Styela clava: one gene and its partners. The protein of the gene in region 1 purifies or fractionates together with the protein of each later gene. This does not show direct contact. Links are inferred from orthologs where the notes say so. Each region holds a gene or a part of one and is shown in the gene's direction. Other genes may lie near its edges. The genes, in order: derlin-2-like, selenoprotein S-like and FAS-associated factor 2-like.

Region 1 (3,760 bases):
CAAAGGTCCGACGTGTCGCTCAGTTGTGGTTCCTGCTCGGTTGTTGGCTAGTTTATAAGTTTTTGGTACCGTAGGTTTTCCGATGGTTTAGAATTTAGATTCCTAGGACGTTTTAGAACATGTATGTATGTTTATATGCCTCCAAAATATAACAGTATCTGCATAATAATTAAACAGTAAAACAGAGACGGATACATGTTCAAGACCTGAAGACCTTACTGGCCTAAGACACAGATGTGCGACATGCACACCTACTAACAATTATAACAGCATTTTAGGACTACTACTTTATAATAGGACAACAGACATGAAATAGGTTATAGAAATAAAACTCTAGTAAAATACACAAGACAAGGAGATACGACACAACGACGATATGTACAATATACCGGTAGTCAGTTAGTTTATGGCTCGTCCATGTCCCAGTGTGAGAGAATGTATATTAGGTATGGGTCGCTAAAATGATATGGTTTTACAATGAATCTTACAAAACACGTCACAATTTGTTCCCCTTTTTCTCTCCCCCCCGGGATAAATATGTAAATCATATCCTATCCTTATTCCACAATCAAGTCTTCCAAGTCCATGCATCTGAGACACATCCTGACATCTGACACTCTCTCTGAGAGAGTAACCGACCCAAACAGTCAGAAGTTGTAATTTGCCATATGCAGATATGATTAAGGCATCTTATCGACTTTCCCCCGGGATAAATATGTAAATTCTATCATATATATATATATATATAGAGAGAGATATAGATAATAATTGATATAATTTACCTTTACAGAATCTATAGTAAATGCTGAGATTGGATAATACTTCAGTATAATATATAGCCTTAAACCTGGTATCTGTAAATATCGAAAACTTTTCAAATATAACTCGAATATACCTCACAATTCACGTTATTGAAAATACTTTACTGAAGCCGCCAATTCAAGATGGCGTACCAAACTTTTCAGCAGGAGTACATGCAGATTCCACCGGTGACGAGAGCTTATACGACAGCATGCGTTGTCACAACATTAGCAGTGGTGAGCACTCAAGGAATTTGTTGAGATTGCATTGCGAATAAACTCAGTTTTAGCACGAGGCTTATTTTTTTGCATTTGTTTTGGCATCACTGTAAATATTGTCTGTAATTGGGTATAGGTCATATAAGTTTTGGCCCATGGTGCAATAACCTTGCCCACCTGGTCTAAACTGACCTATTTGATCAGTTTTTTTTTCTGATTGATTTTCTTGATACAAATTTTTATTATTTCTCTCTTGGTTTAAGTTATATTTTTCAAATTGTAATTATTCAACATTTCCTGCTGTAGAACAACTAGTTATATCATCCGACATCTTCTGCTGCTTTTCTCACCCATTATGTTTACTAACACGATAGCTTGATAGTCTTTCTTGTTTTCCCTTCGGCAATTACGGTTAAAATATTGTATGGCATATTTTTTTTCAATTGCTTCCTTCCAATTAATAGTACAACGCTTCATGCACGATGAAAATAAAATTATATATTCTCGATGAAAATTCTTTTAATAGTCTTATCTAAATTATTTAAATGACACACCATTCCAACCAATTTAAAACTTTCTATGCAAATGTACTGTACAGTATTTAGAGTGTCTGTTGTACAATCAACTGAACTCACTTCGGTCAATTAGGACCCATCCCACACTGAAACGTAATGTCACATGAAAAAAAATTTAACGTTAGTATTTATGGGGAGTGTGGTCACCCAAGCATTTGTAGTTTTAAAAAAGCTATCGGTCATTGTAAATATTTATCTGTTTGTTACCTATTAATTTTTTTGAAAATACATTCTTTTCTTTTTTCAGCAACTTGAAGTGATCTCACCATTTCAAATCTATTTCAATCCTGATCTGATATTTCAACGTTACCAACTATGGCGTCTCATCACTAATTTTGTTTTCTTCGGAACTTTTGGATTTAATTTTTTATTTAATATGATATTTTTGTATCCTTTGTGAAGAGAGTTTTTTGTTTTGTAAAGTTAAGTTTTTTTGATATTTTTTTTATTTATGCTTGTTCACTTCTTTTGCTCTGAACAATGCTCTGAATCAGGGGTGTGCAACCTTTTTCGAAGGCGGGCCAAATATCAATAACCGGGTCGAACCGCGGGCCGCACCTACATTTCACACAGGCTTTCTATTAGTTGCAGGCACAAAATGGTGTCTTTTTGTTATTGATCTCTTGGTCCTTACAGAAATAATGAGTTAAGTTCTTAGAACTGTAATTTAAAGACATATATTGTTGCACCCAATTTAAACGAATTCAGTGAGAAATTTGCTGCTGGATTCTTCTCCCAACTACTTTTATCCAAATTTGCTTAAGGAAGTGATAGCAATTCGATGCGACGCCCATTTTAGAACAAAAATATATTACCGAAAAGTGCCATATTCGAAGCCATGACTTTTTCAAATGTGGGAAGTAACTTGATTGAGAAGTTTTCAGTAAAATGCGCCAAATTTCATTTCCAAATAATTTGCTGTCAAATCTTATTCTAGATTTGATTTAGACAACATCAACTGATAGGCTGGAACCAAAACTCATTTAGCTTTTTTATCTTTTAATATTAAAATTTTTCAAACTGCTATTCAGTTGCCTCCGCGGGCCTCACAATTTTCCCTTGCGGGCCGCATTTGGCCCGCGGGTCGCACTTTGCACACCCCTGCTCTAAATAAGCAACGACTGATATCCTACTGTATGTACGAAGTTGCTAATTTCAGGATTGCCATAATATTCTTGGTTTTGCATTGTCTATGCAATTTATTACACCATGAGTGGGTACTGCGACTTGTCTCTGAGCAAAGTTATGTCAATTACTGAAATACAAAGAACCCCCCAAACTATAGAATCATGGTGGCGCATTACCCGAAAATATGACTGACCTATGGTTACAAACAGCCTAATTGTGAGGTAGTCCATGTGTAGGTATAAGGATACTGCAATAACAATCTCTTCAGTTCTTCTTTCCAACATGGCCAGTAAATATTTCTTAATGGATGTTGTACAACAAAACAACTTGGCATAAGAATCCACACAGATGAACCTTTTCCTTAACCAACAACATTCTAACTATCCAGATACAGGTATTGCAGGATGTTGGAAGAAGGATCATTTCGTGGAAAAACCGGGGATTTTGTTTTCATGTTTATTCTGGGCGGATCTATTATGACAGTATCCTTTTAAAAATCTAGTTTGGTTTGGCGAACCGATCCCCGGGACCATGAGCGAAGGCTTCACTAACTACTATCCGCCATTGTCCGCCTTTAAAGTAAATTGATCATGATTTGTTCAATTCTTTATCCGTGGTGCATTAATTCTTTTACTTTTAGTTGTTGGTGGCTTTTTATTACTAAAAATGGAGCATAAAATAATAGGAGGAAGCTAAATGATTTTCATGTCTATTTGAGGAGGAAAACGAATGGAAACGAATGAAAACGAATGAGATGGCTCTATCATATCCTTAACTGTTTATGTAACATCCAGATAATTGCATGTTTTGCAAGCCTCGTATTCCTTGGTCAAGCTTTCACAATAATGTTGGTTTATGTCTGGAGTCGGAGGAATCCTTATGTTAGGATGAGTTTCTTTGGGATCCTAACTTTCAGGGTGAGTTGCTTCATACAGATCTGCTCGAAGTAAGGCCCTCTGAACTGAACGTGCAAAGTTCTTGGTGCCCCTTGGTGATCTCGGGGTCATAAAACTACTTTGTACCTGATCTTACTTGCCT
Region 2 (3,760 bases), on another chromosome or scaffold:
CAGACGATCAAATAAGACTGCAGTATGAAACAGAACATGCTAACGATGTAAAAAAGATTGAAAAATTAACAGCAAATTTTTTAAGGATGATGGTGCACTAAATTGATACCTTATTTGGTCGAGTTTGCTGGTGATTGATTGGCATTTTTTAATTGGAGATTTATTGCTTATCATTTTTGAAGCACTATTGGATAAGAGTGTTGTAAGACAATATTAGAATCAGAGCGTTAAACTGTTGTTATTAATGCGCTAATGTACGTTTCTTGTTTAGTATAATTCTGAACAGTCGAATTGGACTTGGCAATGCTGCTTATTCTGCTCACACATCGTTGCGTTTGTTTTACAATTCTGTCTTGGTGGCATTAGACCGTTTGTATGTGCATTTTTTTCTTTGCAGATTATATGTTTCATGAAATCGAAAAAAGACTGATGTTCTTGATAGCTTAATACTTTATTTGGAAAAAGTTATTAATTGAAATATTAGTAATTATATTCCTATTACAATATATTTTCTGATATTTCTTTTTTTCGACCAATTTATGTCAATGCGTGCCTTTTCGATATTCTAAATTTAAAACAATTGTTAATTTGTTTTATGTTTATGAATCAATTTCTGTGGGACAGGATGTATGTGTCATTAAATGTGTGATAAAACTGCTTGCATCGCTGCAAAGTTTTTTAACGACCACATTCAGAGTTTTTTTCGATATGCAAGATTAACTAGCTTATACAACTATATTGTCAATTTTGTGGGATATATTTTAGATAAGATTTGTTGCCTTAAATAAAAATGTACGTTCATGAAGACTAAATTTTTTTTTCGAATGCAAACGGAATTTTTCGATATCATATGATTTGTTTATTTGGTGCTCCCGAAGTATGCGAACCAAGATGGCGGACATCGGAACGTAACATGGGTAACAGGTTAGGGTTAAGCGATAATTTTTTTCCAATTTTCCTTATTTTAGTCCTATTATCAGTTTGAAGACTAGCCAAGAGCCTCCCGTAGTATTTATACCTAAAATTATGGCCTAACCCTAACATAGTACTCATATTACATTCCGATGTCCGCCATCTTGGTTCGCATACTTCGGGAGCCCCGTTTATTTAAATTATGAGCGGACTTTATGAACGCTCTCTGTACTGGATATCTTGTTTTGGATTTGTGATGTGCATGATGGAACTTTGTCTTTATTTTATGTTGGTTTAGAACTGTTTTATGTTGAAATAAGTAATATGTGTAAATTTGAATTTTAGTTTGTTTCGCAATGTAGTGCATAAATCTTTTCTTAGTCCTAAAAATGATGCCCAGATGAGCATGATTGAACTTATATCATTATTGTTATTATTTTTGCTGATTTGATTAAGGAAGGATTTTAGTAATGAATTGACTGAATATTTTGTGTAATTTGATTTTCAGTTGAATTATATATTGTATAAATATTAATTTTTGGCCTAAGAATGGCCGCTGAGGTGGAGGATGCAACTGTGGAAGTAGAAGATGAATTTGTGGAGGAACAAATTGATCTGAAAAATATTAATCCCAATGTGATGATGGCTTCTTACTATGCAGGTGAGTAATGTGATGTTGCAGTATGATTTTGTTGGCTTCAAAGCCACATGATAGTATGATAACGTAGGTAAAGAAGTTATTAAATTATACGTGGATTGCTCAGATATGAAAATTAATTCCAAACAGCAGTCTGACTTAGAAGAAACCTTGTCGAACGGTTTTCAATGCATGGATCAAAAATTATATTTTTTGGAGGTGGACTTATTGCATATTTTTCACAAGTCTCATAATTCTTGGTTGGTAGTTTTGATCCACTTATATCAGGGCTGAGACGATTTCTGGTACCCCATATTTTGGGCAAAATATGCAAAACATGGATTTGCATCATCAAAAAACGTTTGTAATACGGCAAATCTTTTAATAGTTTAAAGAGGTAGCAGTGTTGAACACCTCTTATAAATTTGTACCATCATTTTGAAAATAATAATTTTCACTTTTTGTATTTAGTAACATCATTTCTTGCCACATATGGATGGACTCTCATGGTAATTGCTGTTCTACTTATAATATTATGGAGTAACATTGAGAAAAAAGTCAAGAAAATGATTGAAAGAGCAAAAGAACGAAATGATCCCGTGGAAAATGGTAAGTCGACTTGCAATATTAAAAATGATCTTGTATAATATAGAACAGCGTTTTTCAAACTTTTTTGGCCCCGGAGCGTATTTTATCTTGCCTCGCGGAACGCCAAGAAATTAGAAAATAAAATTAATGGATAGTTTTCAAATAATTTATTCTATGTTGAAATTAAAATGTTTGCTGTTAATTTGACTCTTAGAAAGTCAACCATATTGAATGGTTAATGAAAACTCCATGATTTTTAGACTGGCGCTAGGCCTATCTGCCTTTTTAGATAGCAGGGCCCTTTCCGCCTTTTTGGAGGCAAATTTACTATCCAGAGTTGCCGAAATGAAACCGAGTTTGGCATGACGACCAATTAAGTCGCAATTTCGATTCCTGTTCCACGGAACGCTTCGAAGAAGCTCTCAGAACGCAGTCAGAGAAGCGCTGATATAGAATATTACAAGAGAAATTTCTTTAATTGAGGTCACTCAAACTCACTCAAATGTGAAAGAAACACAACATATTAGACAAGTTACAGGCGGCCATCGAGATACGAGTAGCTACTGATACTATATTTGAGATGCATTGTGCCGATTGACCTATGGTGACGCCTTTTTTTACTTGAGAAACCCGAATATTATAAAGATTTCACAATCATGCATGGAGACTATAGAATATTTCAAAGAAGGTTGTGTAGCTCCCTATTAAAAACTATATTCTTCAATTATTTCAAATATTTTTTTGCTACTTAGATCCTGAAGTTCTGGCTAAAAGAGCTGAAGCAATGGAACTTGCCAGACAAAGAATGCAGGAAAAAGCATCTGCAATTCTAAGAAGGGAGGCAGAGAGAAGGCAAGAGGTGGATAAATTTTATTGTTCATTCCTTAGTATAATATTGATGATCGATTCATATTGCCAGTCAAATAATTATGCTTGAATTAGTAGCAATTTCTAAGTACAGGGAGTCCACGACTTACGATGTTGTTCCGTTCTCGAGACGCGGTGTAACCCCAATTTCAGTGTAAGTCTGAACATTATACTGTACATTGCATAAATTACTCTACACATATCGTACTGTATTGTAAAGCATGGTACTGTAATTAAATGTACAAATAATGCAGAAAAGTGCTTTATTAAAAAATACAGAAAACAATTTCATATCCCATGAATAAAAGCAAATACTGTACAGTACAGTATCATTTTTTATATTTTTAATGGCATGGTTTGTAACCTCGGAACAGCATTATGGAGTGCGCATTCGCAACCTCGAAACAGCGTAAGTCGCGAATGTCGTAACCCGAGACCTCCCTGTATGGGGATTTAACAGACTTCTTTTCAGAATCCTTTCTTTTTAATTTGTAAACATTTTGGAGTTTTGAAATAAACTGCTGCCCATTGCTCGAAAAAACTCGATTTATTTTATTTGGCATTTATTTATCTTTTTCCTTGATTGAGAGGCCTTAGTAGTCCATGATTAAGTCAACATAATAGGTTTTCTTCTCCGTTGCTACTTCCCATTGCTTGAGACAACTCAAAATTGCATTCACCAGTGTATTTTGTGTATTGAGAGGCCATGATTAAGCCCACACAATGGTTTTCTGCACCATAAATTTGGATTTCTTT
Region 3 (3,760 bases), on another chromosome or scaffold:
AAATGCTAGCAGTAGGCCTATCGGTCATGGATTGGAATATTTTGCGTAACAGAAAATCATCCTAGTAAAAATTGATTCTTTTACCTATTTTTATCAAAATTATTTGCCGAAAAGCGGGGAAAAAGTATAAATTATATTTTCTAATATTTCACGCGTGAACCACCACCGTGTTCAATATTACTCCCCATTAATTTGACCTCTCGTTTTCAAGAAATTCATTAAATTGTGTCTTATAGCTACTCTACATTTGAAAGTACACAATATATGTTATTAAATTTTGATTTCACTTTCGTTCGCGAAGTACAGGACTGATATTGTGCCGCGGGAATGGCTGGAGTAAACGCCTTGTTGGCGGCTTTCTAGAAGTAAGTACATTTGGTTATTAAATACGGCGTTACATAAGTTTTAATTTTTCGACGTAATGAAAATGAAAGCTTAAATTAGAAGCTGCGCAAGAGAATGGCGGCAATGCCCAATGTTCATGCTTCTGAAAACAAACAAGAGAGCTATGCTCAAATATATGGACACGTAGCGCCACCCAGTGGCAATGATTTTGATGACGTCATAGCGAGAAAAAAAAGTGATAACCTTCTGGAGAAAAATTTTATCTTTAACCACTGAAAATATCAAAGCAATTGGTCCAGTATTCGAAGAGAAAAGCGATTTTTTAAAAATGGAGACGGAGACAAATAACAATAACAACAAAATTTTGAAACGATCGTTATGGCCACTAAACGTGTCCAATAACTGACTAACTAATCCCACACCGGACACGGATTGGTAACCGGACTAGAGACCGTGGTTCTCCATATGATTAACCCATCTTATCGGCTTCCCGCTCTTTCGGGATGAACAGGTAAATCTTATCTTATGCCGATTTTATTTCATCGTCAGTAAAATACGTGACAAAGTAAAAAAAATCGTGGCTATTATTCGGAATTATTCTAAAATTAGCTGATAAACAGATAAAGTATTCAAATACTTTGATAGTCGAATATTCGATTCGTTTTGGACAACCCTGCTCAATCAATCAATCAATCAATCAATTTTATTTCGGTCGCTCTGGTATAAAACGAAACAAAAACAAACGAACAAACACATAGGACCTGGAGGACGGGCATAACTTAAAGAAAAGTTAAAAACGTGAAAATACGCGCCCGTCCACCAAAATACGCGCCTCTGAAGTCATCATCAATTGTGACGAAATGCTCTACTTTGGAGATGTCAACTCTGTATATTTTGTAAATTGGAAATCGTTTGACAGGATCCCAAAAGATTTAGGCCCACGATCTAAAAGAACCCGAACTTTCCGTGCGCCTACATTCTTGCAATATGCATTCGCGTAAAAATGTAGTCAGGTAAAACCTTCTAAATACGACACCTAGCCACCGCTTGCAGCAGAAGTACATGTACCAGTACTATAATACCAGAACGCCAAGTTTATTATTTCTTTTCTGAAAATATATGGGACTGAATAGTATTTAGACTAGGATTGGATTGGTACCGGTGCGAAATAAATATCTAATAGGGCTGTGTATTATTGTATGGCGGACAATAACGAGCAAGTAATAGAAAATGATAGGGGTGAAGATGAAGAAAACTTGAATCAGGAATTAACAGAAAAACTGATTCATTTTCAGGTTAGCTTTGCTATCATTATAGGCTATGCAGTTACTGAATTATATGAATTCACATTCTACAATAACTTAATCTATGAATACATCTGGTGAGTGAAGCAGGCCTAGCCCACCTCTTCATGCATCCAACTTGGCAATTCTGTTTGGGCAATTTGCCATTAGGTGACTCCAATTATAATCTGCTTGACGATATCTTTTCAGGAATATTTTTTCTATCCACAGTACATAACTCCTTTTGCTGTTTTGACTAATTTGGTATCCAATTCCTGAATTCGACAATACTCATAAAATTATTAATTTGGTGTGGCAAAAGAATTTATTCTTTTTATTTGTTTGTATATTCTTCTTCTTACTGCAGTACTGAGTAATTGATTTTATGTCTCGCTTTTTTCACTCCCAACCTTGTCATGTCTCGATGATTGTATGTTTGTGTGTATATGCGTTGTATGCATGCGTTAATTAGTTTACTACTCTTAGGTGACAGGGTGAGCGAACACGTACTACTTCTTCTATCAATACCTCCCCACCCAAAATATGTACGCTTTAAACCTTGCTTGAGGTTTCGTTTGCTTTCCCGACCCTATAATCAGTTTTATTTATTTTGTTTTTTTCTATTGCCTATTGCTGATTATGGAGTCAAAATAAACTTATACTTATAGTAGCGTATCGGATTATTGTTTGGGAAAAAATGAAAATTTGGGTTGTATTTTTACATCACATTTGTGTTTGGCGTTATTTAAACATTTACAGATTTACAGCGTTTACGGTACATCGCGAGACCCTATTGCTGTATTGCTCTGTATTACAGTACTTTGATAGGATTTTTGCCTGTGTCTTTTGATCTTAATTTCTCTTGACGTTAGAATTGTTATGTTACTTTCCCGTCTGACTGTGTTGATAATAACCTCACTGATATTATGATCTGTGTAGTTTCTAAGGCAAGAACTTTACTGCATAAATAGCAGTTTTTCACCTACTGACCTAATTTACGTAATATAATGAAGGTGTAGACCCAATTTTGTACTTTAACATGCCCATGTTTGAGTGCAATTATAGCAAATCAAACTATTTTTACCTAACCAATTTCTCACCCAAAATCTGTCATAATATTAAAATCGTATTTAAAACGTCTTTCAGGAAATCACCAACATAGACGATCTGAATAGATGTAAAACTATTTTGAGGCAACATGATTGGAATGTTGAAAGTGCAGTCCAGTCAACATTTCTTGAGGCAGGAATGTCTAATTCTCAACAGGTTGTATTGTGGGAAGTCCCTCTTTAATAATTATCTTTTAGATTACACATGATTAATTGGCTACGCCTTTCAAAACATTGGTAAACACTGTTTTATTTCTTTAGTCAAATCTACCACCATCGATATCTGCAAATTCTGGTTTAAGACGAAGAAATGTTGCCACCATATCTCCACCACTTCCATTAAGAACTAATTCTCATACGACATTGTATGAAGCAAGAGGATTACAATTGAGGCAACCTCAAGGAATATTTGAATGGGGATATTATGTTTTATCAATGCCATTCCGATTTACATGGTCAACGTTATTTGGAATTGTGAGGTATTTCTGCATAATAATTCTGCACTGAAGTACTATCAGTGTAAAGCCTTTTGAATATTACCTGTTAAATTGATTACACAGTAAAATTTATCAGGCCGATCGCATTTCAAATTCATGAGATCCAAAGTCCTTAGCTATAACAAGTCATGTAAGATTGATTTTAGATGTCATTGTAAGCAACCTTGTGTGTAAGACTATTCAACAGAATAATAGCTGTCAAGGGGAAATCAATTCTTTCAGTTCTAAACACCTTCAAAATATTTCTCACCACCAAAAATGTAGTTGGACTTCCATTTGGCCTATTAATTTCAAAATAACTTTGAAACACCTGAAATGTAAATGGAATGAAGAAATGCTTGTTAATAAACAATGGCAAATAAAACTAGAACCCTATAATGATCCTTTTTTTAAATTTGATAACTATTGAATTTTTATTAATTTTACGCTTTATATTTCATGTGTCTCCTGACTGTTTACCACAGGTTTTTTATGCGTCTCTTTCTGCCTGACACGAGGGCAAGGCTAACAGATCCTCTTGGAGATG

Evidence for each region.
Region 2: the proteins of derlin-2-like (region 1) and selenoprotein S-like purify together in Homo sapiens (affinity purification with western blotting; 3 studies listed by BioGRID and IntAct, with this or other methods). This does not show direct contact. The link is inferred for Styela clava from reciprocal best matches to the Homo sapiens genes DERL2 and SELENOS.
Region 3: the proteins of derlin-2-like (region 1) and FAS-associated factor 2-like purify together in Homo sapiens (affinity purification with mass spectrometry; 5 studies listed by BioGRID and IntAct, counting the BioPlex papers as one, with this or other methods). This does not show direct contact. The link is inferred for Styela clava from reciprocal best matches to the Homo sapiens genes DERL2 and FAF2.

The regions. Positions count from the first base shown.
Region 1 is NC_135264.1:18,503,374-18,507,133, forward strand, and holds the start of derlin-2-like, read left to right. Parts: upstream 1-794; 5' UTR 795-944; coding exon 945-1,037; intron 1,038-1,841; coding exon 1,842-1,981; intron 1,982-3,110; coding exon 3,111-3,204; intron 3,205-3,516; coding exon 3,517-3,639; intron 3,640-3,760.
Region 2 is NC_135253.1:20,577,888-20,581,647, forward strand, and holds the start of selenoprotein S-like, read left to right. Parts: upstream 1-1,101; 5' UTR 1,102-1,461; coding exon 1,462-1,573; intron 1,574-2,020; coding exon 2,021-2,158; intron 2,159-2,889; coding exon 2,890-2,996; intron 2,997-3,760. UniProt on the Homo sapiens protein: Involved in the degradation process of misfolded endoplasmic reticulum (ER) luminal proteins. Participates in the transfer of misfolded proteins from the ER to the cytosol, where they are destroyed by the proteasome in a ubiquitin-dependent manner.
Region 3 is NC_135256.1:23,649,824-23,653,583, forward strand, and holds the start of FAS-associated factor 2-like, read left to right. Parts: upstream 1-1,398; 5' UTR 1,399-1,544; coding exon 1,545-1,640; intron 1,641-2,774; coding exon 2,775-2,894; intron 2,895-2,998; coding exon 2,999-3,216; intron 3,217-3,698; coding exon 3,699-3,760. UniProt on the Homo sapiens protein: Plays an important role in endoplasmic reticulum-associated degradation (ERAD) that mediates ubiquitin-dependent degradation of misfolded endoplasmic reticulum proteins.